Linked DNA regions of Cricetulus griseus. Each later gene encodes a partner of the first gene's protein in a complex. Links are inferred from orthologs where the notes say so. Each region holds a gene or a part of one and is shown in the gene's direction. Other genes may lie near its edges. The genes, in order: Taf1c, Polr1b, Polr2h, Taf1d, Polr1c, Polr1h and Rrn3.

What was found.
Region 2: Taf1c (region 1) and Polr1b share a complex: the UniProt entries of both Homo sapiens proteins name them as parts of the pol I pre-initiation complex. The link is inferred for Cricetulus griseus from reciprocal best matches to the Homo sapiens genes TAF1C and POLR1B.
Region 3: Taf1c (region 1) and Polr2h share a complex: the UniProt entries of both Homo sapiens proteins name them as parts of the pol I pre-initiation complex. The link is inferred for Cricetulus griseus from reciprocal best matches to the Homo sapiens genes TAF1C and POLR2H.
Region 4: Taf1c (region 1) and Taf1d share a complex: the UniProt entries of both Homo sapiens proteins name them as parts of the transcription factor SL1/TIF-IB complex. The link is inferred for Cricetulus griseus from reciprocal best matches to the Homo sapiens genes TAF1C and TAF1D.
Region 5: Taf1c (region 1) and Polr1c share a complex: the UniProt entries of both Homo sapiens proteins name them as parts of the pol I pre-initiation complex. The link is inferred for Cricetulus griseus from reciprocal best matches to the Homo sapiens genes TAF1C and POLR1C.
Region 6: Taf1c (region 1) and Polr1h share a complex: the UniProt entries of both Homo sapiens proteins name them as parts of the pol I pre-initiation complex. The link is inferred for Cricetulus griseus from reciprocal best matches to the Homo sapiens genes TAF1C and POLR1H.
Region 7: Taf1c (region 1) and Rrn3 share a complex: the UniProt entries of both Homo sapiens proteins name them as parts of the pol I pre-initiation complex. The link is inferred for Cricetulus griseus from reciprocal best matches to the Homo sapiens genes TAF1C and RRN3.

Annotation. Positions count from the first base shown.
Region 1 is NC_048596.1:196,237,590-196,241,830, reverse strand, and holds the start of Taf1c (TATA box-binding protein-associated factor RNA polymerase I subunit C), read left to right. Parts: upstream 1-1,441; 5' UTR 1,442-1,510; coding exon of another isoform or gene 1,511-1,549; intron 1,550-2,342; exon of another isoform or gene 2,343-2,357; 5' UTR 2,358-2,358; coding exon 2,359-2,496; intron 2,497-3,801; coding exon 3,802-3,883; intron 3,884-4,022; coding exon 4,023-4,120; intron 4,121-4,191; coding exon 4,192-4,241. UniProt on the Homo sapiens protein: Component of the transcription factor SL1/TIF-IB complex, which is involved in the assembly of the PIC (pre-initiation complex) during RNA polymerase I-dependent transcription.
Region 2 is NC_048599.1:49,457,757-49,461,256, reverse strand, and holds part of Polr1b (DNA-directed RNA polymerase I subunit RPA2), read left to right. Parts: intron 1-1,845; coding exon 1,846-2,017; intron 2,018-2,704; coding exon 2,705-2,986; intron 2,987-3,500. UniProt on the Homo sapiens protein: Catalytic core component of RNA polymerase I (Pol I), a DNA-dependent RNA polymerase which synthesizes ribosomal RNA precursors using the four ribonucleoside triphosphates as substrates.
Region 3 is NC_048597.1:67,932,157-67,936,399, reverse strand, and holds the start of Polr2h (DNA-directed RNA polymerases I, II, and III subunit RPABC3), read left to right. Parts: upstream 1-1,443; 5' UTR 1,444-1,785; coding exon 1,786-1,858; intron 1,859-2,835; coding exon 2,836-2,919; intron 2,920-3,164; coding exon 3,165-3,258; intron 3,259-4,243. UniProt on the Homo sapiens protein: DNA-dependent RNA polymerase catalyzes the transcription of DNA into RNA using the four ribonucleoside triphosphates as substrates.
Region 4 is NC_048597.1:128,814,751-128,818,830, forward strand, and holds the start of Taf1d (TATA box-binding protein-associated factor RNA polymerase I subunit D), read left to right. Parts: upstream 1-1,280; 5' UTR 1,281-1,570; intron 1,571-2,734; 5' UTR 2,735-2,744; coding exon 2,745-2,815; intron 2,816-3,216; coding exon 3,217-3,592; intron 3,593-4,080. UniProt on the Homo sapiens protein: Component of the transcription factor SL1/TIF-IB complex, which is involved in the assembly of the PIC (preinitiation complex) during RNA polymerase I-dependent transcription.
Region 5 is NW_023276806.1:255,712,608-255,716,577, reverse strand, and holds the start of Polr1c (DNA-directed RNA polymerases I and III subunit RPAC1), read left to right. Parts: upstream 1-1,170; 5' UTR 1,171-1,262; coding exon 1,263-1,331; intron 1,332-1,446; coding exon 1,447-1,518; intron 1,519-3,731; coding exon 3,732-3,839; intron 3,840-3,923; coding exon 3,924-3,970. Other genes in the region: protein YIPF3, read right to left, coding at 129-326, 882-962. UniProt on the Homo sapiens protein: DNA-dependent RNA polymerase catalyzes the transcription of DNA into RNA using the four ribonucleoside triphosphates as substrates.
Region 6 is NW_023276806.1:228,752,316-228,756,252, forward strand, and holds the start of Polr1h (DNA-directed RNA polymerase I subunit RPA12), read left to right. Parts: upstream 1-1,137; 5' UTR 1,138-1,180; intron 1,181-3,937. UniProt on the Homo sapiens protein: Core component of RNA polymerase I (Pol I), a DNA-dependent RNA polymerase which synthesizes ribosomal RNA precursors using the four ribonucleoside triphosphates as substrates. Can mediate Pol I proofreading of the nascent RNA transcript.
Region 7 is NW_023276807.1:74,978,884-74,982,383, forward strand, and holds part of Rrn3 (RNA polymerase I-specific transcription initiation factor RRN3), read left to right. Parts: intron 1-1,008; coding exon 1,009-1,139; intron 1,140-3,500. UniProt on the Homo sapiens protein: Required for efficient transcription initiation by RNA polymerase I (Pol I). Required for the formation of the competent pre-initiation complex (PIC).

The DNA of each region.
Region 1 (4,241 bases):
TGAAGCATTCCTTTACCAAAATTCGAACCAACTTCTTTATAATTTTAACAAAGACAGTCAATAGCTCTTCAGGAATCATACAGGACTCTAGCACCAGACAGGGACTGCTAAGACATCCAGCCTCATGTACTGAACATCACCTTTTGGGTCATGGACAGCTATTGTTGGACTACCCAGATCACAGCTGTAAGCCAGTCTAATAAAATCTCTATTCTATATTCATCCATCTGTTCTGATAGAGAACCCTGACTAACACCCAGAAACACAGATTTAGAGTTCCCTGGATAATCTGCTACATGGAGGAGACAGATTAGCGAAGTTTTGCTAGTTCCAGAACAAAGGAAATCATAACCCAAAAACAGTTTTCAAATACATTGGAGGGAACATCATGTAGGTAGGTTATAGCGAAGCAGGAGCATCTATTTTAGGTCTCAAAATTCTATCTGAAGTTTTCAGGTAGGGTCTCAGCTATGCAGGTCTTAGACCTCTGTCTCCCTGGTGTGAATAGGCTCATTCCTCCCCTGCTAGCATTGGACCCACTCTTGCTCTGAGTTCCCAGGTGTTGATAGGAAGAAAGTTTTTCTCTGTGACCCCAAGTTCTTCACCTTGAAGTTACATAAGGATCTGTCTTTCTTTCTTTCTTTTTCTTCCTTCCTTCCTTCCTCCCTCCCTCTCTTTTGAGACAAGGTTCTCACCATACAACTTTGGCTATTGCTGGGCAGACCAGGCTAGCTTTGAACTCACAGAGATCCACCTGTCTGCCTCCCTAGTGCTGGTTTAAAGGCGTGCACCACCACCACCCGGGACAACCTGTGTTTCTTTTCTTTCTCCCCCCCACCCCCCCATAGGGTTTCTCTGTGTAACCTTGGCTGTCCTGGAACTCACTCTGTAGACTAGGCTTGCCTCAAACTCAAAGATCCACCTGCCTCTGTATCCTGAGTGCTGGGATTAAAGGTGTGCACCACAAAAAAAAAAAAAAAAAAAATCTGTCTGAAGACATTCTTAGCTTCCTAGTGGGTCCGCAGAACCACACATCCTAAGTTTCACGTGAAAGGCACAAGACAAAAGCAACTTGCAGGCAGCCCCCACGACTCGCTGCTTCTGAGTTTGAAAGTCTCCCAAAGCACGCAGGTGCAAGCTGGAGTTTGAAGACTACAGCCTAATACTCCTTCCTGGCCCCTGATTTAAGCCACGCATGAGCCCAGGGTCATATGAAAAGCGGATTCCTAGGATTTATGGACAATAAATACAGTGCGTGGCCCATCGGAGGTGGTCGGTGAGATAGTTAGTTAATGAAGCAGAGCAGGATCATCCAACACCGGGATGGGAATTCCACGCCTCAGGCGCCACGACCACGCCTATTCCTTGTCTGCCCGGCAGGTAGCGCCGGAGAACGCAGTGAGGCCTTGCTGAGGGCGGGATTTCCTGTTTCTCGGGAGCACTTCCGGCCTGGTCCGGAAAACAGTTCAGTCCGGCTGTGGATGCTCACGAGTTCTGAGCTGAAGAGTTGATGAGTGGCGCTCCGGCTCCTTTTTGGGCCCCGGATCAGGTGAGACTGCCGCCGGGAGCCAGCATGGTCTGCGCGCGGGGATGATGTGAGCACGTGGCGGTGCCGCGAGGCTACAGAAACCAGGGGCAGGCGGGTTCCAGCACTGAGGCTGGTCTGGGACGCTTGCAATGAGGGCGGGCGGTCTCGGGACCGGGTCTCCCCTCTGGCACACATGTGAGCAAGTTAACCACACACCGATTCCTCAGATCCTCAAATTCAGGACCTTTATGCCGCATCCAGCTGGTGGTAGTGCTCAGCGGGTGCTGTTGTTCAATTTAAATTTTCTAAACTGTGGGCTGATTACTCCCTAATGCTTCTAGAGCAGTGGTTCTTAGCCTCTCTAATGTTGCCTGCGACCCTTTAATACAGTTGTAGTGACCTCCAACAATAAAATTGTTTTCGTTGCTACTTCATAACTGTAATTTAGCCTGTTATGAATGATAATGTAAATATCTGTGTTTTCCGATGGTCTTAGGTGGCCCTTGTGCTAGAGGGTTGAAAACCGCTGTTCTAGAGAGTTCCTACTTTTATTCGATCCTCAGAGCCTTTGCACGCACTCATTCCCCCTGGACCCTCTACCCAAATGTGTGCTGAGCTATCTGTCTCCCTGAGTACCCGTAGGGACCCCTCACCTGCCCATCAGCAACCTCCCCTGTGATGGGGGAGTGAGCAGTTCTCTAGAGGCCCTTCTTACTCTCTGGCATTAGGCTGCATAGTCTGGTTTTTACCTGTTTCTTTGTAGTAGACTTTGTAGCACTGTTCAGACTCCTAATGAAGATGTGTGTGACATTAGATGCATTTTCTCCAGGATGGACTTCCCCAGCTCTCTGCGCCCCTCGTTATTTATGGCTGGGCCTCTTGGCATGACTGATGGTCCTGACCTGTCCTTCATGTGCAGCTGGAGAGATGCACTGACCATGCCAGGGTCCCAGCCACAGAACTGCAAGGTGAGGATGGAAATAGGGCACTTCCTTTGGTCCCCCTCTTATCATTAAGACTCAGTGGCACAGATGATAGACAGGGCTAGGCAGATGCTACTCCTGCTGTGCACAGGCCACGCTGCTACCCAGAGAGAGTCGATCAACAGAGGCTGTGGCTCCTCTTTCCTCCTTCTCTCCCTAGATTCAGCTGGTATTTACTGACTAGTGTTTCTGTGCCAGGGTCCTTACAGGCCCAATAGTCCAGCATGAGGAAGTTAGGCAACCCCACCTTGGGGACTGCCAGTTAAGGTGGGAGAGTTTGTACCAACAGGCAGACACTGTGTAGTGTGGCCTTGGTTCTACTGGAACAGTGGAATGGCAGGGAAAGGGGGCAGGATTTCTGCTGGCATCTTGGTTGGGACTTCGTTAGCTGCCCAGCTGCCTTGTGGAATTGAGTACATACTGTAACGATATCTCTTTCCACCAGCTGCCTGAGTTCTGCTGCCTTTTAGGGCCCCCAAATAACACACAGAGTCTTATATTAGTTACAATGCTGCTAGCCAATGACTGGGATTTCTTATCTGCTAGCTCAGTCTTAATTATCAACCATAACTACCAATCTCTATTTTTATAAGGACATATCTTACCAAGGATGCCGGCCTTATGCTTGTCCTCTCTTCCTGGGGGATCACATGGCGACTCCTCTTTTCCAGAATCCTCCTCCTCTCCTAGTCCTGCCTATCTTGCTTTCCTATTGGCCAATTGTGTTTTATTTACCAACCAATAAGACAAACATATACACAGAAGGACCGCCCTTATCAACATACAGGAGAGTGGGTCAAAGAGGGGGTGTTGAAGGAGGGGGTGTTCTTGGACCTTGAGTTAGCTCATTGGGTTCTGGGTGCACAGACAAGGCATGGGTGTGGAAGCTGGTGTGAATGGACTTTAGGATACAGATTCTGGAGTTGGCTGCCTGGGTTTAAGTCCCTGCCTTCTTTCCTGACTCTTACCTGGGGCAAATGACAGCAAACTTATGCTTCAGTTTCTTTCTTTTTGCGGGGGGTTCCAAGGCAGAGTTTTTCTGTGGCTTTGGAGCCTGGCCTGGAACTTGTTAGCTCTTGTAGACCAGGCTGGTCTCAAACTCAGAGATCCGACTGCCTTTGCCCCCGCCCCCCCCCCAGTGCTGGGATTAAAGGCGTACGCCACCACCACCCGGCTGCTTCAGTTTCTACATCAGTGAAGTGACCAACTTTGCAGAGCTGTCATGAGGACTGAATGAGTTTTAGTCAAAGAGTGCACCCCTGCCATGTTATTGCTGTCCTGTTCCCCTAGGATGGGACATTGCCATTGGCCAAGAACCTGCTGTGGGAGCCAACAACACCAGGACCCCTCCCCCTGCTGCCTCCTGGTCCTGGTAAGGGTCTCCTTCTGGGTTCCCTCCAAGGACCTCAGCCATCAGACACACATACATTCCAGATCCTGGATACCTCCATATATCACTGTGTTTCCATGCTGCCTTCTCAGGTTCTTCTTTGACCTCTCTCTCCCCTTAGATCCCTGGGAACCTGGCATGACCCCTCGGGACCTCCTTTTCCGGGGAGGTCACCGCTACCAGTTCCGGCCTCAGGTTGGGCTGGATGTCACTGAGCAGGTAAGTGGTCCCTGGGTGGGATTGTGCTGCACAGCCTGGGCTGTGCTGAGTGACACAACCATTCCCCACAGCTCAGCCGCTTCCTGTGGGACCATGGGGACATAGCCTTCACACCCCTGGG
Region 2 (3,500 bases), on another chromosome or scaffold:
CCTGCTTCTGCCTCCCGAGTGCTGGGATTAAAGGCGTGCGACACCAGTGCCCGGTGGTGGGCCTGTTTTTAGTATTTGAGGAACCATCATACTGATTTCCACAATGGCAGAACTAGTTCATGTTCCCACTAGCAGTGTATCAGGGTGCCCCCTGTCTGTATTCTCTCCATTGTGTCATTTACTTCCTTGATGACTGCCATTCTGATTGGTTGTGATAGAGTCTCACTGTTGTTTCTATGTGCGTTTTCCCAGTGACTGGTGGTGCTGCCCATTTCTTAATGTTTATTACCTGTTTCTACTTCATTTTCTGAAAACTGTGTATGTGAGCCTGATGCGTGTGTCCCTGTTCTTGTGTGTGCACATGTATTCGGGCATTTTTTTTTTTTAAGATAGGGTCTCACTGAACCTGAAGGTCATTGATTTGGTTGAGCTGTGGGTGACCAACAAGCTCCAGGGATCTACCTATTTCTGCCTCATCAGAACTGGGATTACAGGAGGGGGCTACCATGCCCTGCTTTCTGTATATGTGCCAAGCACTCACTGAGTCATCTTTGGCCAATATTTGATTTCTTGTTATTTGGTGTTTTGACAAGGTCTCCCTCTACCAGCTCCGGCTGGCATCTAATTTAAATCCTCTTGTCTGGTCCTTTTTAATATTTTTTTTATATAGTCTCAAGGTAACATCAGATCTTGGTCATGGTCATAGCACTAATGACTAAGCATAAAAGTACATCCTGGGATACCAGTTATTCTTTGTTTTTTTTTGACCTATGTCTTCAAGTTCAACTACTTCCTAAAATCAGTTTGCAACACTTTTTTTTTGTTTGTTTGTTTTGTTTTTCGAGACAGGGTTTCTCTGTGTAGCTTTGGAGCCTATCCTGGCACTCGCTCTAGAGACCAGGCTGGCCTTGAACTCACAGAGATCCGCCTGCCTCTGCCTCCCGAGTACTGGGATTAAAAAGCATGCACCACCAACGCCTGGCTGCAACACTTTTTATTAGTTACTTTTTTGTTGCTTTGACAAAATGCCGGACAGAAACTAACTTAAGGCGGGAAGGATTTATTTGGGCTTGTAGTTGGGGCATATAATGTGTCATAATGGAGAAAAAGTTTCTGGATGTAGTACAGAAATGTAAAATTGGGAGTGAGTCTGGCTCCTGGTGGGCTAGGTCCACTATCTAGATCCCGTGTTCTGGAGGACATGGATGTTGGGAACTGTTTATGTGACCTGCAAGAGCAGTGCACACTCTTAACCACTGAGCAATCTCTAGCCCCAGTAATGAGTCTTCCTCTGTCCCACCAGCCAGCTCCCAAATAATGACACAGAGACTTCTTATTAATTATGAAAGCCTAGCCTTAGCTTAGGCTTATTTCTAACTAACTCTTATAACTTAATCATTTCTATTAATCTACGTGCTGCCATGTGGTTCATGTCTTTTACCTCCCCTCCTGCACTGCCTGCTTCCTCTGCCTCTGACTAGTGACTCCCCCTTTACTTCCCAGACCTCTCTCTGGCTGGAAGTCCCGCCTATACCTCCTGCCTAGCTATTGGCCATTTAGCTTTTCATTAAATCACAGTGGCATATCTTTACACGGTATAATCAAATACCTTGCTACACGCCCCTGATCTAGACTTCCTGTCTCTGTCTTTAGGAATGCCTGACCTTTCAGTTGTACTTTGAAGGTCTGTCTTTTACAACCCTGACTGTGCAAAAGACGCATCCTTTGTTGCATGTGTAAACAATGGGCCTTGATTCTGGATTGTGTAGATTGTGTGGAGGTAGATACAGTACTTGAGATAATTAAGGCGTGCACTACTTTAAATTTAACGTTTGCTTCTTTTAGGAAAAAATGGAAAATTGGCTAGCATCTATTAAAATAGCTTTAGATAAGAGGGCTCAGAAGACCAATGTGTCCATAAACAATGAAAATTTGCTGAAGATATTTAGCATGGGAACAGAGCTAACAAGACCATTTGAATATCTTCTTGCTACTGGGAATCTGCGTTCAAAAACAGGTAAAATTAAGCAAATAGGCCATATTTATATATTTTTTGATTATGTGCCTACTATGATAAAAAAAAAAATGTTGCTGCAGAATTCCAGAGTAAGCTCACCCTCACTGAAGCCAGATTTTATGATTTAGTAAATTTTGACTCATGTCTGCCAACCTGAATTCAGGGTTCAGCAGTGTGTCTTATTTTTGTAAATCAGTGCTGGTAAACAAATGCATTTGGTGACTGCTAGGAAGCAGATGAGCACATTCGTCTGGGGCGGGGTTACCACTGTGATCTGGAAGGGTTTGGATCTGCGCCCCTCCCTAACCCACTTGTATTGGAATGAGCTGGGAAAATAAAAAGGACAACTGGGTTCCCAAAGTCTGCTTTCACTTTAGGGACAGATGCCACTGATTTCTCTTGTTAGCATGCCAGCATGTGCTTGCGTAGCTTCAGGGCTCTCAGACCAATCTAATTCAATTTTTTCCATTTATCAGAACTAATACTGTGTGTTACGAAATTGTGAGTGTGTGTTGGTACTGGGAAATTGAACCCAAGGCCCATTCATATATTAAGCAGATGCTCTTACCACTGAGCTGTATCCCCAGCCCTGAAGTTTTGTCATTTTATCAAAACATTAGAAACAGACAGTTTGGGTTTTTTGACAAAGACTTTGGCTTGTTTTTGAGTAACTTTTTTTAAATTAAGGTCTCGGCTTCCTGCAAGATTCTGGCCTGTGTGTTGTGGCTGACAAGCTGAACTTCATTCGCTATCTCTCCCATTTCCGCTGTGTGCACAGAGGGGCCGACTTTGCCAAGATGAGGACCACCACAGTGCGCAGGCTGCTGCCAGAGTCTTGGGGCTTCCTCTGCCCTGTGCATACCCCAGACGGGGCACCGTGTGGGTTGCTGAACCACTTGACTGCCATATGTGAGGTCGTCACGAAGTTTGTGTACACAGCATCTGTCCCAGCCTTGCTCTGTGGCTTAGGTATGGACACTGAAGGTCCTGCTAGGTTTCATGGCTTTGACCAGCATCAAACACTGAAGTCACTCTCTGGGGCTCAGCAGAGAACTCTCTTTCAGTCCTCCAAGCATGGGTTGGGCTGCTTTCTTGGCTGCTTTCTCATGCATTCTTTGGAGCTAAAGTAAGTTAAATGTCATTAGCGTTGTCCTTTTTTTTTGTAATACAACAAGAGCAAGATATTTAATAGGACAGCCTTAACATTCAAAGTTAGGTGCTGCTGTATAAATTTCTGGGTCACTCTCCTGTGCTCCTGGTAGATCTTTGAATTTCTAAGTAGAAAATTGTTGGTTTGGGGGAGTTCAATTAAAAAGTAGCTTATGCAGTATAGCTGATGCCATAGATCACTGACCTTTGTTCCTGGTAGCATGCAACCACTGTCTCTGCTTGGGGAAAACTCAGTCATTGTTCAGATGTCATCTTTTTGTTTGAGTATTTTCTAATGGTTTATTCCTGGGATTTTCCTGTTGTGATTTAAAAG
Region 3 (4,243 bases), on another chromosome or scaffold:
GCTAGCGTCCCCTCCTTGGCGGGCGGGCCGAGGGCGGTGCCCTGCTTGCTGCTCCGCCCTGGCCCATCTGCAGGGGCGTCCGGTCGGGCTGGGGTCTGCATTGGAGCCGCCTCCTGGCCTCCGGAGAAGCGGCAGGGGGCGCTTGCAACGCGATCTTGCACCCCTTCTCTGGGGAGGCCGGGGGCTGACCCGGCCCCGAGAGGGTGCGGGGCCGGACGGGGGCGGGTCCGCTGGCACGTGGAGGGGACGGGCTCTCGGGCGGCTGCAGCGTTGTGCGGGAGGGGCTGAGGATGTAGTGACTCCAGGGCTGGGGCAGGGGGCTGCTGACGAGCTATCTCGGGCTCTCCAGGCCAGACTCGACTGGGGCAGCCTCTGCTTCGCGTTTGCTGGCGGCTCAGACGGGTCTGGGAGGATTCCTGAGAGCCCGCTCCCTTATCGCCTCCCTTCCTCCTTTCTTCTTTTCCTCCGGGTTCCCCCGGGAAGGTGCACCTGGAACTGCTAGGCCTGGAGATCGGGGCGGAGGTGGAGGTGGGAGGGGACGGGAAGGGGTGAGGCCCGAGGGAAGGGAGCTATTGGTGCGGGGGAGGCTGCTCCTGGGAGGCGGGCGTGGGGGAGCAGAGGTCGCTCCTCCCAGGCATCGCTTAAAGGGGGAACTTGAGTAGCTGCTGACGCCTCGAGGAAGCGGCCCAGTGAAGCTCTACGTTGTCTTTCGGGATCCTTGGAAGGATAAGAACAGTGTGGCGTTGGCACAAAGAGGATGGACAGCGTTAGGTTGGTGCCACTGGAGAGGACGGTGCCCAGAAATCCGTGTAGAAAGAACAGCATCAGGATGAAGACTCATTCAGCAAACAGAGGGTGGTGCTCAAGGGGAGCGTACGGTGCCCAGTACGGGGGCTGCGATGAAAGGAGATAGCACCTGGAAAGAGCGCGCTGCGAGCTGTCGTTTCCCAGGGAAAGGCCAGTGTCGGGTGGAAGCGCACTGGATCAGTGTCCAGAAGAGGGTAGTGTAGTGGGGTGACAGGCAGTACCAAGTTCAATTGGCAGTGTTCTAGGGGATCAGAGTTAGTGCCAAGCAGGGCCAAGGGAAGACCGGCGTGGCGAGGAGGTGAAGCCCCAGGCGAGGGCACAATGCGGGCTTTCCTTTCCCTGACAGTGACATCACGGCAAATTCCCAAACCGGACGGACCCGGCTCGGGTGACGTCTAGCTGGTCAGAGCCAGCTCGGACCAGCGTGGGGAACCTTGGTGGCCGTCCGAGGGGCTGGGCACTGCGTCCCGCTGGGCGGGCGCTCTGCGGGTGGAGTTCGGCTTCACCCTCCTGCAGCACGGACTGTGCCCTCGGCGGGCACGCGGACCGCAGGGAAGGGCTAGGGCCGGGCTCCCTCTGGGCCAAGGATCAAGGTTCCTGGCTGGGTCCGGTCCCGGAGCCTTCCAAGCATCGGGATCCGGGGTCTGAAGAGGGCGCCCTAGAGCCGGGCGCATCGCGGTACCCGCCGGGGGTGGGACTTAGTCTGTCCCCGCCTTGGGCGGAGTCACCGCGCTTTGAGACTCGCCCACAAGGTCCGAGCCACTCCGAGGTGGCCTTTCCCGGCGGAAGTGAAGGAGCCCCGAGGGGAGGCAGCGGAAGTGGCTGCGTTGCTGAAGCCTGTGCGCATGCGCCCTGCGGCTGGTTGCCGCTTTTTGGGGCGGTACTCTGCCCTGTCTTCTTTTCTCCACGTGAGGGGGTGCGCGAATTCCCAGTGGTGGCCGCGCGCTCCGCACCTCTGCAGTTCTCGTGCCCCTTACGATGGCGGGCATCCTGTTCGAGGATATTTTTGATGTGAAAGACATTGACCCAGAAGGCAAGAAATTTGACCGAGGTAAGGTGTGTAGGGGAGGTGAGGAAGAGGCCAAACATGCCCACCCACCCCAAGTGGCCCGTCCCACCCTCTCGGTACCTCCCTCAGGAAACAGTGTTTTTCATAATGAGAAACTTGGGACAGCTTTTCCTATGATGTTTGCGGTGTCTGGTGCCTCGGTGGCCCTTGGCTTTGGGGTTGGGAAAGCCCTGGACACCTTTCTGACTCCTTATTCAGTATTACGTGCTGTATGTACCGTGCGCCTCTCTCGCACACTTAAGTATTGTAGTAAGAAGTGATGGTGCCCGATCTATTTTGTTACTTAAGGCCGTGCAGCGAGTTACCTCCCTGTCTTCCTAACCCATAGTTTTGTATTGCCCCAAGAATTGTTAGCCCTTTGCCGAGTCCTCTATAAATTTCATGCAGCTGACTGCTTGGTGTATTCATTTCCCAGTAATCCGGAAGTTGTTTCTTCTCAGTGTCACTTTACCTGGAGACAGACCCCCCCCCCCCCAATACAGATTCTCTTTGTAGCTCTGGCTGTCTTGGAACTTGCTTTGTAGACCAGACTGGCCTTGAACTCAGAGATCCACCTGCCTCTGCCTCCCAAGTGCTGGGATTAAAGGCGTGCCCCCCCCATTTTTAAAGACAGGTGTCAGTTCTCAATACACCCTGCCTATTCCCTCCGCAGAGTGCCTACTAGGAAGTGGGGATCTCTGGACTAATGACTATCTTGTTCAGAGTTGAGTTTAGTCTAAATCATCCAGGTGTGCTTAGAGCCTAGAGACGGGTTGCTGCCAGAGAAGTTCTGCTTCTTTCTTGGGATCCTGACACTTGCTGAGGTGTTTACTCCCTTTCTTCTCTGAATCTGATTTGGATTGCACTCTGTGTCTGTGTCCCAGAGCAAGGCTAATGGCTGTGGACTAGTTGAAAGATTTGTTCTCCTGCATTCGACCCCGACTCTGTTGCCTGTAATTATGTCTGTCGCTCTTTCCCAGTATCTCGGCTGCACTGTGAGAGTGAATCTTTCAAGATGGACCTCATCTTAGACGTGAACATTCAGATTTACCCAGTGGACTTGGGTAAGTGTCCAACACAGGAGCTAGCAAGTGAATTTTTTTGTTTGTTTGTTTGTTTTTCGAGACAGGTTTTCTCTATGGCTTTGGAGGCTGTCCTGGAACTAGCTCTTGTAGAACAGGCTGGTCTCGAACTCACAGAGATCCGCTTGCCTCTGCCTCCTGAGTACTGGGATTAAAAGCATGTGCTGCCAACGACTGGCTTTAGCAAGTGATTTTTATCTTTGGTTTCCGCTTGATGCTCTTTTCAGGTGACAAGTTCCGATTGGTCATAGCTAGTACTTTGTATGAAGATGGTACCTTGGATGATGGTGAATACAACCCCACAGATGACAGGCCTTCCAGGTGAGGCGGTGGTAAAGGAGGGACTAAATAGATAAGTAGTACATAGAATGGTCTTTATTTTACTGCTAGAAAAAGACATTACTGCACTTAGAATTCACACAACCAGAACTGGGTGTGATGGTTTGTGTCTGTAATTCCAGAACTCGGGAGATGAGGCAGGAGGATGAGGAGTTCAAGAACACCATTGGCTGCACATCAAATCTGAGACCAACCTGGGCTGGAGACCCTGTCTCTAAAAAATTTGAAAAAAATTTCAAACAACTGGCTTGATTACTTAGTGAGAGCAGTGAGTGGAAGCTTGTGAACTGCAGTTGTTTATTTATTTGAGACAGGGTCTCACTTTGTAGTCCTGGTTGGCCTGGACTATGTAGACCAAGCTGGTCTCAAACTCACAGATGACATCCACCTCCTCTGCCTCCTCAGTGTTGGAATTAAAGGTATGTACCACCACACCCTGCAAATGTAGCTTTTTTAAGGCCTAGAAAATGATTACATAGTAACCTAGATTTTGGTGTGACAGAAAGACTGTGGAGTATTGGGTCTGGTGGTACACACACTTAATCCCAGCATTTAGGAGGCAGAGGCAGGAGACCTCTGTGAGTTTGAGGCTAGCCTGGTCTACATAGCCAGTTAGGACAGCCATGACTATATACTGAACTTTTACTTCTCAGCTCCACTACTTCCATCTTCCATTTCCTTATCAATAAAGTACAGACAGTCATTTCTAGTTCACTGAATTGATGTGAAAGCCAAATAAGGTTGCGCTTCCATGGCATTTGTTGTTATCAGTTTCTATTTTAATTATTTCTATCTTTTTGGTTTTTCGAGACAAGGTTTCTTTGTGTGGCCGTGACTATCCTGGAACTTACTCTGTAGACTGTCAGGCTGGCCGAAAACTCACAGGCCTCTGTCTCTGCCTCTGCCTCTGATTCCTGAGTGCTGGGATTGTGCCACCATGCCTGGCTCAGTTTCCATTTTTAAATGT
Region 4 (4,080 bases), on another chromosome or scaffold:
TATGTCTGAACACTCTTCTCTGGTGAACGCCCCACAACAATTCTGCTCATTAAGTTCTTTTCTTTTTTCAAGACAGTTTCCTGGAACTCACTCTGTAGACCAGATTGGCCTTGACTCATTGATATCTGCCTGCCTCTGCCTCCCAAGTGCTGGGATTAAAGGCCTAGAAGCTCATTAAGGTTTTTTTATTTTTTTATTTTTGGTTTTTTGAGACAGGGTTTCTCTGTGTAGCTTGTGCTGGCCTCCAACTCACAGAGATTCGCCTGCCTCTGCCTCCAGAGTGTTAGGATAAAGAGTGAGGTGAACCTTGGCAGGTTTCATGGCGGGCGAGGTTGACCGAGGCCAAGGGACAAACATTCCAGGCAGACAGCTTAAATGAAGTTTTATTAGGAAGAGGCAGGCCAGCATAATGCCTGATCCTTACACCCAGTGCTGGGATTAAGGGCATGAGTCACCACCGCCTGGCAGTACACAACATAAAGATGGTAAAACTTGTATTAATAATTCTAAATTTTCCTTACTTATGGGGAAAACATAGTCTAGGCTGGCCTGGCAATCCTCCTTCAGACTCTCCAGTTCTGCGATTTGCCACAGTTCTCAGCTATTTGTCACTTTCGTTTTGAACAGGACCCTGCAATTTAAGTTTGCACTGGTCCTGAATGTGACAGTCTGAGATGCCTGTCTTAGAGCTTACAGCGAATGCACTGGCTGCTTGCAAGTACAGCAAGACCTTACTTTTAAGGCGTGTCCAATCATAAATGATAACAACTGTTGACTAAGGGCAAGCAGATCTGCTGGCTTGCTTGTCATACAATACAAAGGTGCAGCATGGAAAATAACTCAAAGCAGCTCACTACTGAAAAGAAAGTACTGTAGGGCTAAAAACTGTTTAGCCCTACACTGTTGAGTCAACTCAGGATCTGAAGGAGGAAGCCCATGCCTGCTGGAAGCTAACTCCTGAAGGGTGGGGTGCCCAAAGCACCTGGCACCCTTCCTCTGAGGGGGAACTCCGCACACAGTGGGCTCGGCCCCACAACATGCGGACGCTCACCTGACCCGCAGTGTCTTCACGCCTGCAGGAATGCCTTCTTCCCTTCACCTACCCAAGTTCAACGTCCTGCTCCCTTCCGCCAGCTCAAAGCCTAGGGGCGAGCCCGGTACCGCCTCTCGCGGAGGCCCCGCCCACTCCACAGTCCACGCACATAGCCACGCCTAGCACGTAGCCGCGCTCTCGTACCCACCCGCCGCTAAGAGCTCACGCGAGATCTCGGCCTGCCCTAGTCGGCTGCTGCGAGCTGGAACGTTCTTTTGGTCGCGGTGGAGGAGGGAGACGGGTGTGTTTGCGTTGGGCGCTCGGGTCTGGCGCGATCGGTCGGTGCGGGACTCGGAGACCGCGCGCGGGCCCGGGCTCTTTGGGCGGCTGTCCGCGCGCAGTCGGCGCTGTTGTCGGGTGAGGCGCAGCGGGCCACGCGTGGCTCCCGGTCGCTATCGGTCGCTGCCGGAAGGTTTTAGAGTGTCCCGTCGGGGCATTGTGCTGGTGCTGCCTTCCTAGGTCGAGAAGACCGCACAGGTAGGACTGATTTCTAGATAGGTTCCTCGTGTGTACTTGGCCATTACCCTTAGAATTTTCTCCGCTCTATCGTTGGTGCAAACGGGCCAAGTATGTTACGTTGCAATTTTGATGGGCTAATACTAAAAAACAATGGGGAATGGAGAAATGGCTCTACAGCTAAGAGCACCAGCTGCTCTATCAGGGGACGTGGGTTCAATTCCTAGCAGCCACGTGGTAGTTCACAACCATTTGTAATGGGCTCTGGTTCCTATTTCTGGTATGGGTGAAACCAATGCACTATCCGTAAAATAAGTCCCCTTTTAAAGGAAAAAAGTTAATAACCCGGGAGGTGGTGGTGCATTTCTTTAATTACAGCACTCAGGAGGAAGGCGGATCTTGAGTTCGAGGCCCCGCCTGCCTCTACCTCCTGGGGTTAAAGGCGCGCACCACCACCTGGCCAGTTGCGGCCCCTTTAAAGCTGCCTTGTGGGTGCTGGGAATTTAATCTGTCCACTCAAGAGCAGTCAGTATTCTTAAAGCTAAGCCATCTCTTCAGCTGACTCACCCTAGAGGTTCTATTGTTGGGATTACAGGCCCATTGGCCATTCGGGAAATTGAGGCATACACACTGAGTGGCTAAAAATTCAGCCTTCCTAGGGTAAACATCCGAATTAATGCTGTTTCACTGTGTGGCTGGCTGGTAGTAAAGCCACTCAGGTACTTTTGTTAAGTAGAATTAGAAAACACTGATTTGGAAAGTGGTCTCTCCTTTGCTTTCACTTGTAGATTAGAATTGAATGTGTGGGTATCCAGGAAGCCAGAAACATGCCATGTTGAAGTTGTGAGCTACCCAATGTGAGTGCTGGGAACTGAACTGTGGAAGGTTACACTTTAACTGCTGTGCTCCTCACGTGGATATTTTTTTTTTTAAGACAAGGTTTTTCTATATTGAATTAGAGCCTGTCCTGAAACTAACCTGGAACTCACAGGTCTGCCTGCCTCTGCCTCCCAAATGGCTGGGATTAAAGGCGTGCACCACCAACAGCTGGCTCACTTGGATGTTTTTAAAGATCTAAAGTGGACTATCCTTAGGTCGATTTTACCTAAAGTCACATGGTGGTATGGTGTATGTTGAACTTTTCATTAGAATGCTAGGTGCATCACACTGAAATTGTAATTGCAGAGATCGAGTAATGGCTCAATCAGAAGTGACTTCTGTTGACTGCATGACACCTGATAGAGCTGCAGACATTGGACATCAAAGGTAAGGCAGCTTTTGTGACTAAACACCCTAGAGTTGAGTCTAACTGTTCAGATTGACAGGTCTCAGTAGGTGGCCTCATTCAAAGATGATCCTGCCTATTTCTCCCAAGAGCTGGAATTAAAGGCTTATCACCACACCCATTTGAAAATGTTGGGTATGATTTTGGGGGAGCTGGCTTTGGAAGAAATGTACACTTAAATTTTTAATGTCTTCTCTTATGTGACTTATGAGTGAGTGCTTTGCCTACAGTCAGTATCATGTGTTCAGAAGAGGGTGTTGAACTCCATGAAACTTGAGTTACTAATGACCATGCTGCCTGAGGGTACAGCCTTGCCACTCGTGAATTGGATTGTTTCTAGTAACGACTCAGTGATGCAGTTTATTTTATTTTATTTTTTTAGCGATGACTCATCTGATAGCTTATTTAAAACACAGTACGTTCTTTCACCTACACGAAAGCAAAGAAACCCTACGACAAAACGTGTCACTTTACCTGCAAATGTTGACACTGACACATCAAGTGACTCCTCTATAGAACCAAGGCTTTTGACTTTAAAGGCTATTTTTGAAAGATTTAAGAAAAAGAAACGGAAAAAAAGGAAATACAAGCCAAAATTAAGACCAAGAGGAAGACCACCTGGAATAAAAAATGCTAGAAACCCTAGAAGGTCACAGATAGGTGTGAAGCAAATTAAAAACAAAGGAGCTGTGTTTCCATTCTTAGAATCTGAAAATGGAAGAAAACCCTTACCTTGGAAGAAAATTTTAACATATGAGGTGAGTCATTCTCATGTAAGTGAATACACTAGGAAATTGGAATGATTGTTGCCCCCATCTTTTCTTCCTGGTTTTTCCAGACATAGTTTCTCTGGGTTTGGGTGTTGTTGGCCATTTTTAATTTGAGGTCCACCTGGGACACATTTTGTTACTTTGACAATAAACAATGTGTTCTGTGTAAAGTCTGCTCAGGTTCCAGTGTTTCTGAGTGCACTGTTTTTAGTGTGTATACAAACTTAGAGAATAATGGTCCAAGTCTGTAAATGTACAAAATACCCTCATCTTAGTCTCTAAACTACTCTCAAGCATATCTTACCCAACTTTAAATTAAGTAGCCCATCAAACCAGTCATTTCAAAGTAAGCAGATGTTATTTCGTTCTTTTTATTTTTTATGTCATTTACTTTTTTGGGGGGGTGTTTCGATACAGGGTTTTCTGTGTAGCTTTGGAGCCTATCCTGGCACTCCTTTGGAGACCAGGGTGGCCTC
Region 5 (3,970 bases), on another chromosome or scaffold:
GGGTATTATGAAACTGGTGGCTCTAGACTGTTAACGTTACACAGCCTTTGCCAGATTTCTGTGTGGTTCTCCCTGGAAAACCTACGTCACCTTGGGACACACATGGGTCCACTTTCCCATCTGCTTACCTGATCAGCCACCTGTCGGCTCAGCTGTCCCTTAAAGCCTTTCATGCCCAGAAACTCGCCATCCTCCTCTTCTGCAGCAGCTGCGTCGGCATCCACTTCTTCCTCACGCAGGCGCTGATGCAGCTCCCCCATGTCCTCGAAGCTGGAGCCTGACGTGTCATCCATGTTCTCCATGTCAATCACGGCCGAGCCCCCGCCCTGTGAAGACAAAGGCTGCTAGAGAGCGGGGCCTTCTGTTGCACCCTTCTGCTCTCTGCTCATCGCACGGTTTGAGGCTTTGCTCTCCCACTGATGAGGACATTGGAATTGCTACCCATCGTGCCAAACTCCTCCTTGTCACTGCTGGCACAACTCTTGTCGCCACACTTTTGTGGTTCAGAAAACACACTACTCATCTTCAATTCACGTTGTTTTCCTACCTTCCCCCTCAAAGCTTCGAAGTGCTGCACCGGGGCCGACCTGCCGCCACCCACCTTCAAGCAAGCCTATGTGCACACAGGCCACCTTTAGGGGCTCCAGGGAATCAATCCTACCCTCTAGCCCTGCACCTGCCTGACCCAGACAGGCCGCCCAGCCACGGAGACCCGAGGCCCGCTGCAGCCTCGGCCTGGCCCTTCCTCCTCAGCACAAGCGCTACAGACCTGGGCGTGGGAGACTCAGCGGCCACCACTTGCAATGGAGCCGACTTCCAGGCCGCGAGAGGGGACGGCGGCCAGCCCGGGGGCTGCCGGCAGCCGGGACACCGCTCCATACCTGGATGTTTTCTTCGAAGCCTCCCCACTCCGGGCCAGCTCCGTTTCGGACGCCGCTGGCCGGCGCCGCGGGAGTCGCCATGTCCCTCGAGGCTTTCCGTCGCTGAAGCTCGCGGGCGTGGGACCAGCGTGAGACCCGGGCCGGAGAGAAGGAGGAAACGTCCAGGAAAGAGAGAGGGCGAGGTAGTATCAGCCGGAATGCAAACAGGAGAAACCCGGATGTTTGGCCCCAATTGACGTCCGGAAGTGAAGGACGTGGACGGGGCGGGGCAGGATATCGCGACATTTATAAGTTCAGGAGGCGGGGCGTTGCCAGGGAGACGGCAACGGGCCCCTAGTACGCCTGCGCGCACCGGAGGCGTCTCGAGGCGGGTGGTGGACGATGGCGGCGGCCCAGGCCGTGGAGGAGATGCGGACGCGCGTGGTTCTGGGAGAGTTCGGGGTTCGCAACGTGAGCTCGGAGCGGAACTCGGGAGGGTCGGGGGCGGGATGGGGGAGGAGGAGGGGAGGGGACCTGGCTTGCGGCTTGTCCTCACCGCCCCGCTGAACACATCTGTTGGCTCTAGGTCCACACCACCGACTTCCCCGGTAACTACTCGGGTTACGACGACGCCTGGGACCAGGACCGCTTCGAGAAGGTGGGTGCGCGGGAGGTGTCCCGGCGGCCCGGGGACCAGACGGCTCACGCTCGCCGCGTTCCAAAAACGTGTGCTGAGCCATCCATGTGCTGGGTGCTGGGTGGCCAGGCCGCCCGGGTGGGGTGAAGGCCCACGTGATCAAGGGATCCCGGTGAAACACAAGAGCGGCGAGCACGGCCGGGGTGCGGGAGAGGAATCCCGTAGGTGACTTAATCCGGTCCGTCGGAGAGACGGAGACTCGGGTCAGTGAAGGAAGACTGGCCAACAGTTAGGCCGTGCAGGCCTAATTGGAGCATTGTTGCAAACGCTTGTTTGCGCAGAGCCTGCTCCAGCAGTTCATTATCGCCAGATGTCAATACATTGGCCCGAGTGGTAGACAAGACCGGGGTCTATCTTTTTCTCTTTGAAAATTTATTTGTATTTTATGTACATTGGTGTTTTGTCCGAATCTATGTGAGGGTGTCGGATCCTGTTGTCAGTTACAGTGTTGAGTGCTGGAAATTTAAACTCGCGTCCCTGATTGGGGTGTTATCTTAAGCTCTGCAAGTTAATAGAGAGCTCTGTTGTTTTTTTTTTTTCGAGACAGGGTTTCTCTGGGTATCCCTGGCTGTCATGAAACTAGCCTTTCTGCCTCCTGAGCGCTGAGATTAATAGCATGAGCTACCTCGCCTGGCTTAAAGAGAATTTTTCAGTAGACTGATCTAATTTTGTAACCTTCATAGCTGGGAGGGAATGAATAAATTCCACTGGTAGTGGAAATGGAGCAAAAGGAGAACTAACAGCTATGTACCATATAGCTTTGGTGAGGGGTGTGTGTGTGTGTGTGTGAAAAAGGGCCTTGTGATGTGGGGAATTTAAGGAGTTTTTTTTTTGGGGGGGGGGTTATGTGTTTACCTGCATGTATATTTGTGCATTTGTGTGACTGGTGACCCAGGGAGGTCTAGTTAGGTCCCCAGAACTGGAGTTATGCATGGTTATGAACCACAGTGTGGGTGCTGGGAACCAAACCCAGTTCTTTTTCTTTTTTCTTTTTTTTTCTTCTGTTTTTCGAGACAGGGTTTCTCTGTGGCTTTGGAGGCTGTCCTGGAAGTAGCTCTTGTAGACCAGGCTGGTCTCGAACTCACAGAGATCCTCCTGCCTCTGCCTCCCGAGTGCTGGGATTAAAGGCGTGCGCCACCCAACGCCCGGCCAAACCCAGTTCTTCTGTAAGAGCAGTCAAATGCTCTTAACTGCTGAGCCATCTCGTCAGCTCCATTAGGGAAGTGTCTTGATGGCTGATTGTGTCAGTTGATAAACAGGAGAAAAAGAGTGATAATATGTTCAAATTCCTGTATGTGAAGTCTGTAGGTCAAGTGAATGATGCCTGAAGTGAGATCAAAATGAACCCAAGTTTGGGGAGTTGCTGAGTAGTTGCTTAAGCCAGGAGTGTGATTGAGGTCAGCCAAGAGATTTGAACCTGGGAGAAAGTAACATTTACAGGGTGAGAGGAAGAATTTAGAATATCAGATAAGAGAACTAAATTGGTGTTCAAAAGTCAAGGGAGTAGAATTTGAAAAAAGAGGGATTGAAAAATAAAAACAAATGCAGGACTAACTTGTCTAAGCAGTGTGGGACGTTCTGCTCTTCAGTGTAGCAGCTTCTGTGGGTTGTTTTTGTGGAGCCATATTGCCTAGGGTCTTTTTTGGGGAGAGGGCGGGGGTTGAGACAGGATGTAGCTTTGGAGCCTATCCTGGCACTCCATCTGTAGACAAGGCTGGCCTGGAACTCACAGAGATCTGCCTGTGTCCCCCTCCCCCCCACGCGCGCGCGCCCAGTGCTGGGATTAAAGGTGTGCACCACCAATGCCCGGCTTTGCTTAGGGTCTTAGTGATGTACACCTTTGATCCTAGTCCATAGAAGATAGGTAAGTATTCCTGTGAGTTCGAGGCCATTGTGGTTTACATAGATAGTTCCAGAAATGCTAGGGCAAGGTAGGGAGACCCCCCCTTATTTTTTAATTTAAAAAAGAAAGAAAACCAGCCAGGCTTCTTACAAAACTCAAGAACAGGGCTGAAGACAAAAGTCTAGTGATCATCTGGTCACAGGAAGGCTTTAGGATGAGAGAGGGTGGACATACATGGAGGGACATTGCCAGGGTGGGAGTAATCACAGAGGGAGGCTTGAATTACACAAGAGAAACAGGTGTTCCATCAGTTTTTTCTCTATCCCTCTAGAATTTCCGTGTGGATGTTGTTCATATGGATGAAAATACACTGGAGTTCGACATGGTGGGAATTGATGCTGCCATTGCTAATGCTTTCCGGAGAATTCTGTTAGCTGAGGTAAAAGAAGACGTGTGGGTCTCTTATTTCCAGGTAGGGAGATCAGTTGGTGTTGCAGTTGGATGATTCTGCTTTTTTGAACAGGTGCCAACAATGGCAGTGGAAAAGGTTCTGGTTTATAATAACACATC
Region 6 (3,937 bases), on another chromosome or scaffold:
ATCCCCACAATGTAACTGCAAATAGTACCACTTAGAAATACATTCTTGGATGCCGGGAGGTGGCTATGAGTGGGAGTACATGAAGCTTTCTGGAGTATGGTGATGTTCCACTTTTCAGCCTGAGTTGTTACGGGGCTTTACTACGAAGCCCACTGTCTTCTGGCTCCAAATGATCCTGTCTAAGCTCTGGGATTACAGGCATTTACCAACCTACCAAGCTTAAAGAAAATGTTTTCTCTCATGCCTCCTGATCTGAGGTCCTAGGCTAGGGGTTTCCTCTAGGACTTCATAATCCTGCATCCTGCTTGGTCCTTTCCTTCCCATAGCTGGAAAATGATGTCCTTGCTCTCAGATCATTTCTCCAGGAATTGGTTCTCACCATTCCATTCTGACTCCTAAGTCTAGCATTTTCACTCTCTTCACTTACTAGAGCAGTGGTTCTCAACCTTCTTGATGCTGTGACCCTTTAGACAGCTCTGGATATTCATGTGGGTGTTTCTGCATGGGCATGAACTCATGTGGAGACTGATAGTGAAGGGACCAGCTTCCCTTTCAGCAGCCATAACAGCCGAACACATGCTTGCCATAACCTTGTCTTGGTCACTTAGAGGTCAGATGCCTGCCTAGTGACAAGGAACCAATCAGAAGTTAGTCACTAGAAAGTCAGATGCCTGCCTCGAGACAAGGAACCAATCAGAAGTTAGCTGGTGGCGCTATACTTTATGACCCAGGGTGTGCTTTATGGATAAGCACTCAGCAATGACGCACAAAGCATAGCAACCACCCTGGGAGGGCCTATGGGCCATAACAACCAGTTGGCCAATCAACACAGGGCAAGCCCTCCAAGGCTGGAGGCACACCAATAGTGAGCCTGTGCATACCCCTAGACACTCCCCTTACGCTGCCCTGTAAGATCTCTTGGGAGACCCTAGGAGCTGTCTTTTGCGAGCCATCTGCCACGGCGGGTGGGTAAAAGACCCGAGCTAACATGGGGTTAGCTTGTTAAATTACAATAAAGCCTCATGCAGTTTGCATCAAGCTCTCGAATCCGCCTGGTGATTGGGGTGACCGAGAATGTGGCCTGGGACCCCGGATACCTGAGTTTTCCGGGGGGTCTAACATTTGGGGGCTCGTCCGCGATTTGCGACCACCCTTCACCTGAATGGATTCGATCTTGGAGGTAAGATGATTCGAGCTCGCAACTTATATGTTCAATGTTATATGTTTGCTTGTTTTTGTTGGTTTGGTGCCACTTGAAATTGCTCTTTTGTTGATCTGAGCCTGCGCAGGACTCGTGATTTGTAATTTGGACTTCAGGGGGAAATAGACATATTTCAAAGTCCCGTCCTGGACAAAAGTCCGAGGGCTATTTGAATTGAACCATAGGGTAAGCAGACGTGCACAGAAATAGACGTATTTCTGGAATCCTTGGTTCCGCCCTGGATGAAGTCCAAGGGTTGTTTGTAATTTTGGTTTGGGGCACCATTTCTTTGCCACAGGGTTTGTCCTGTCTGATGTCCTGTTTTGCTGTTGGTGTCTGTTAAGCCTAGAGGATTGGAATGGGCTGGGTGACTGAACAGTTGAGCAACAGGTTTGTTATCTGTTATCTGATCTGTTGCAGCCCACACCCTAACCGTCTGCTTGTGTGTCAATTTTACTATTTCTGTTAATTTTGTGGATATGGAGGTCCTATGTTGGGGTTTCTGGCGACATCTGTGAGTAGGCCTACAAGAATTGTTTAAGGCGGAAGTTCGGGCGGCAGCCTTCCGAAATCTATAGGGGAGACTTGGTTTCGAACCAAGTTGATCTCCACGGGGCTAGCCATCTGAAATTCCGAATAGGACCCTAGTCTGTGTTAAACATCTCTTTCTGTCCCTACTGCCCATGCACATGGAATGCATGGGTCAGGGGTCTTTTCTTGATGCTCTGAGCACATGATGCCACCTCAACTGTGATCAGCAGATGCGCCCGGAGGACAGACTGCTGCTCTGAGGACACCCAGGAGGTACGAACGGAGGCCAAGGACTTGGATCCTCCTCAGTTAGTGATGATTGTAGCCGCTGGGTTCTGCAGCCCATCTTCCGTCGCCATTGCCTTATAAGCGGCGCGGGCGGATTGGGTTGGCGTCTGTTCTTTCCTGTCTATTCTGTGTTATCATCATTGGTTTTCAATTCAGGATCCACCACACCACCCCCTTTCTATCCCCACCTGCGGGTCTGTGAGGCATGCCAAGTGGGGCTGTTTCTGCCCCAGCTGCCATCCTGCCTGCCAAGGGAGTTTCCCTGCTCTGAGGGAACATGGCTGCAAGGCCCGCCATCTGCCTGGCTGCTCGGCCTTCTCTGTGCTCCACACACATGGTATGCAGGGGGACCGAGGGGGTCTTTATCCCATTATCCCACCCCTGCATTGGCCAAGGGTCTGGGGTTACCACCAACACCCCCACCCCAGGTCTCTGCCTTGAGCACATGGAGCTGGGGCGTATGAACTTATCTGGCCTGATCCGGACTTCTAAAAAAAAAAAAAGGCCTTAAAGTTATTAAAAGTTATTAAAAACTGTAAAAGGGACTTTGATAAAAATTTTTACATTGACTGAGAAATGAGAGAAAATGTAGGAGACTTAAATAATAAAGAGAAAAAGGAAAAAGAAAAATTTGTCTAAGAATGTCTAAGAAAATCAGAGGAAAGAACTATAAAAAGTTATAGAAAGTTAAAGCAAGTCATAGAAGGTCAGAAAAGAGATTATTAAAAGAGAAAAATGTAAACTGTTTGCTATGGTTTCTCATGTCAACAAATAGTAAATTTTAAAAATGGTAATATAAGTTAAAATTTTAACCATATTAAGCTAATTCTGTTTTTAAAAAGTCCTGTTTATTTCTCAAGTAATTTATGTATACTTGTTTTAAAATGTTCTTTTTCCTGGTATAACCTAAGTTCTGTTACAAGCATGTTAAGCAAAGGGTGCAAGTTATGGCCATTTTGTAACCAGCCACATGGCAAACTGGTCACATGGCTGACTGGCAGCCATTTTGCTGAAGTTGAAAAAAGATACTTAAACCGCCATCCTGACTAAAGATGACCGCGTGGAAATTAGAGGTTCCATCTTAGAAACAAGCTTTTCAGTTAAGATTTAAAGTGTTAATGCTTCTATATATTACAGAAAGATATTAAGGGAATTTAAATTTCTTTTTAAAACCAGTTTTTTAAATGTTTATTTTTATTAATGTTTGTACTTAAAGAGCTTCAATTTAAAATTATTTTTAAGCAAAGCCTGACAATGTAAAATTCTTGTTTTATAAAAGCTGCTAATCTATTATAAGATGTTTATCTTTTCAGAAGTTAAGTTTAGGGTGTTGGTGGCACACGCCTTTAATCCCAGCACTCCAGAGGCAGAGGCAGATGGATCTTTTTGAGTTCAAGGCCTGCCTGGTCCAGCATATTGAATTCCAGGACAGGGTCCAAAGCCACAGAAAAACCCTGTCTCATTTGAGCAAGCAGCTAAAATGTGTACTTGTAGCTACTGTTTAAGGACTATAATGTAACCCTATGCAGTCTTAAATTCAGCTGTGCTAAGTTTCAAATATTTTACTAAGTTAAAACCAGTTACAGTCAGGCTGAAAATTAATTACAGAAATGAGACCTCACCTAGCCACCTGTATGTTTCTTGTGTGCTTAAGGTGAAAGACCCCTGCCCCTTAGCCCTTTCTTTCTCAAGTTTGTCTCCTCTTCCTCCTGTCGGCGGCTTCCCCGATCCCCACCCCCGGCGGCTTCCACTTCCCCCGCCACCAGCCGCACGCCCAGCCCGAGAACGAGCACCAGGTGGGCTGGCCCGAGAACGAGCACCAGATGGGCTGGCCCGAGAACGAGCACCAGGTGGGCCGGCACGAGGGCAAACACCAAGTGAGCCGGCCTGGAGCCCGGCCCCTGAGCCCCCGCCCGA
Region 7 (3,500 bases), on another chromosome or scaffold:
GATAGGTAGGTATACATACAGAAGCTCTGTCTGGAAATAAACAAAATAAAATAATGAGTTTATTCAGTATAGATTTGGAAGTGTGGCATAGTGGTGCTCGTCTGTAATCCCAGAATGTGGGAGGTAGAGGCAGGAAGAGCATGAGTTCAAGATCAGCCTTTACTGCATAATGAATTACAGTTGTCTTGAAAAACAAAAAGAAATGCTGAGTGGTGGTGGTGCACGCCTTTAATCCCAGCACTTGGAAGGCAGAGGCAAGTGGATCTCTTGAGTTCTAGGCCAGCCGGGTCTACAGAGTGAGTTCTAGGACAGCCAGGGCTGTTTCACTGAAACCCTGACTTGAACAACAGTCCCCCACCCCCACCTCTGCCCCCCAAATAGGAAAGATCATTTTTGTTGCTTCACAGCAGTGTGTGATGTACAGGCTTGTTTGCTTATCACTACGGGATTATACCGAATAAAACAGCCTGGAGCCATTGAGATGACTCTGACTGCAGCCCAGCCTAAGTGATCCTAGGACCCTTGTCCAGAAGGTGTATACATACAGAAAGTAAAGCCATTTGTTTAAATACTGTTGTAACCATAGCTTAATGGATAATTTGGGGGTGTTACTTTTGTTTGGGTTTCCCCCCTCAGTGTCATGAATGTTCAGCTCTGGCCCAAATGCTGAATCTGTTTCTCCCCCTCCAAGTTTCTCTGGTTTCTCTGTGACTTTGGAGACTGGCTTTAATCCAGAGTGCTGTGATTAAAGGCGTGCGCCACCACTGCCCGGCTCAAATGCTGATTCTCAATAGTATAGTGTTCCTTTTAAAATACATATTTATGGCCAGGCTCAGCACTGTGGAGGCAGAGGCAGGAGGATCTCTGTGAGTTCAAGTCCAGGCCAGCCTGGTCTACAGAGTGAGTTCCAGGACAACTAGGGCTGTTACACAGAGAAACCCTGTCTTGAAAAAAAAAAAAAACCCTAAAAATGTATTTATGAAATTAAAGTTTGAATTTTCTCTGTAGGTAAGATTGATAACAATAAAACAAAGGATTTATACCGTGACCTGATATCCATCTTTGACAAACTCCTGTTGCCCACACATGCTTCCTGCCATGTACAGTTCTTCATGTTTTTCCTTTGCAGCTTCAAATTGGTAAGTAAAATGGCATGGCCGTAGTGAGAGTGAGTGAGTGAGTGAGTGAGTGAGTGAGTGAGTGAGTGAGTGAATGTGTGATTTATAGGGTCTCATCTAATCCTGGCTAGCCTGGAGTACAGAAATCTGAGTGCCTTTACCTCCCAAGTGCTGGGATTAGAGACATGTACCACCGTGCCCAGCTAAAAGTTTATTATTTTTTTAAAATTGTGAGTACCTATGCATGTTCGTGTGTGGGTATGTGTGAGTACCTGTGACCATAGCATTTAGAAGAGGGCCCCAGTACCTATGCATGTTCGTGTGTGGGTATGTGTGAGTACCTGTGACCATAGCATTTAGAAGAGGGCCCCACGCCAGGCAGTGGTGGTTCACACCTATGTGGATCTCTGAATTGGAGGCCAGCCTGGTCTACAGAATGAGTTCTAGGATAGCCAGAGCTACACAGAAACTCTGCCCAAAAAAACATTTAAAAAAAAAAAAAAAAGCCTCAGATTCCCTGCAGGTGAACTTCCGTATTTTTGTTTGTTTGTTTTGTTTGTTTGTTTGTTTGTGGAGCAGTATGTGCTCCTAATCCCCAGCCTGTTTCTTTAGCCTCTTTTATTACTTTATCCCACAATTTTCCCCTTAAAAACTGGAGTAGCATCAAGTACTGTACAGATACATTGAAGGTGGTATTCTGCCTTTGGTCACTAGATGGTGCCCTTTTCCTTCCTTCTGGTGGTACCGAGAGTCACACCCAGCTCTTACAAGGGAAACAAACTCTACCAACTGGGCTATCCCTGGCCTGCAGACCCCAGAGATATTTGTGGGGCTTTTTGTTTGTTTGTTTTTCCAAGGCAGAGTTTCTTTGTGTAGCCCTGACTGTCTTGAGACTTGCTCTGTAGACCAGTCTGTCCTTGAACTCAGAAATCCAGCTGCTTCTGCCTCCGGAGTGCTAGTATTAAAGACTTTTTGATTTCATGATGTTCCATTACTGTTAGTGCCTTTCCTATCACTGTGCAGTTCAGAAAGTCTTCTCCTGTGCCAATAAGTTCAAGACTATACCCTACTTTCTCTTTTATCAGATTCAAAGTAGCTGTCCTTATGTTAAGGTCCTTGATTCATTTGTAGTTGAGTTTTGTGCAGGGCAATTAATATGAATCTGTTTGCATTCTTCTACATGTAGCCATCCAGTTTGACTTGACTAGTACAATTTGTTGAAGATACTTTTTTCCAATGTATATTTTGGGCTTCTTTGTCAGTCGGTGTGTGAGTTTTTATCTGGATCTTCAGTTTTATTCCAGTGATAAACATTTCTGTTTGTGTGCCATTACCATGCAGTTTTGATTACTATAACTCTGTAGGACCATCTGAGATTGGGGATGGTGACACCTCCAGCACTTCTTTTATTATTCAGGATCACTTTAGCTCTTCTGCATAACCAGTCTTTTTCTGTACCACCAGCTCCCAAATTAATGACATGGAGACTTATTATTATGAAAGCTTGGCTTAGCTTAAGCTTATTTTTAACTAGCTCTTATAACTTAAATTAACCCATTTCTGTTAATCTGCATTTTGTCACATATTGCCCTTCCTGCTTCTTCTGTGTCTCCTTCTGTGCCTAGATTCCTCCTCTTCCTTTCTCTCCCCCAAATCCCGTTTATACCTCATGCCTAGCATCACCCATTCAGCTCTTTATTACACCATTACACCAATCACACAGTGTGCAAATATTTCACAACAACCCTGCTTTTTGTAGAGTGGCTATTTTCACTATAGTAATCATACTGATCCATGAGCATGGGAGATCTTTCCATCTTCTGGTAATTTCTTCAGTGTGCAAAGCTTTTTTTATGTAAGTCTTTCAGTTGCTTAGTTAGACTTAACCCAAGATTTTTTTTTTTTTTTCTCTTTCTGTAATTAAAGGTTTGCACTACACCACCTGGCCTTTTTTTTTTTTTTCTACTACTTTCATGTCTTGAACTGTTTTAATTATTTTATTCCACTGTTTGTGTTTTCACAGACTTCGTTAAGGGATTTATTCATGTCTTTAAGGTTCTTGAACATATTCATAATTGCTGTTTTCAAGTTTTTGTCTTGTGCTTCAGCTGTGTTGCATTTCTCAGGGTCTACCCTAGCAGGGCTACTGGGTTCTGGTGGAGGCGTATTGTCTTGACTGTTAATATTTGTGTTTTACAATGGTGTTTAGCCATCCAGGGTTTGGGATTGATTGAGGAGATTCTTGGTGTTTATATCTGGTCTGGTCTTTGTTGAGTGGGTATTCCATTCCTTGGTTGCTATTGTCCTCTCTGGATCTTAAGGTAGTGATGGCTGTGGGTTGCCTTGTAGTAAGTGCTTCTGGAGGTGGGTGGGTGGGTGGCA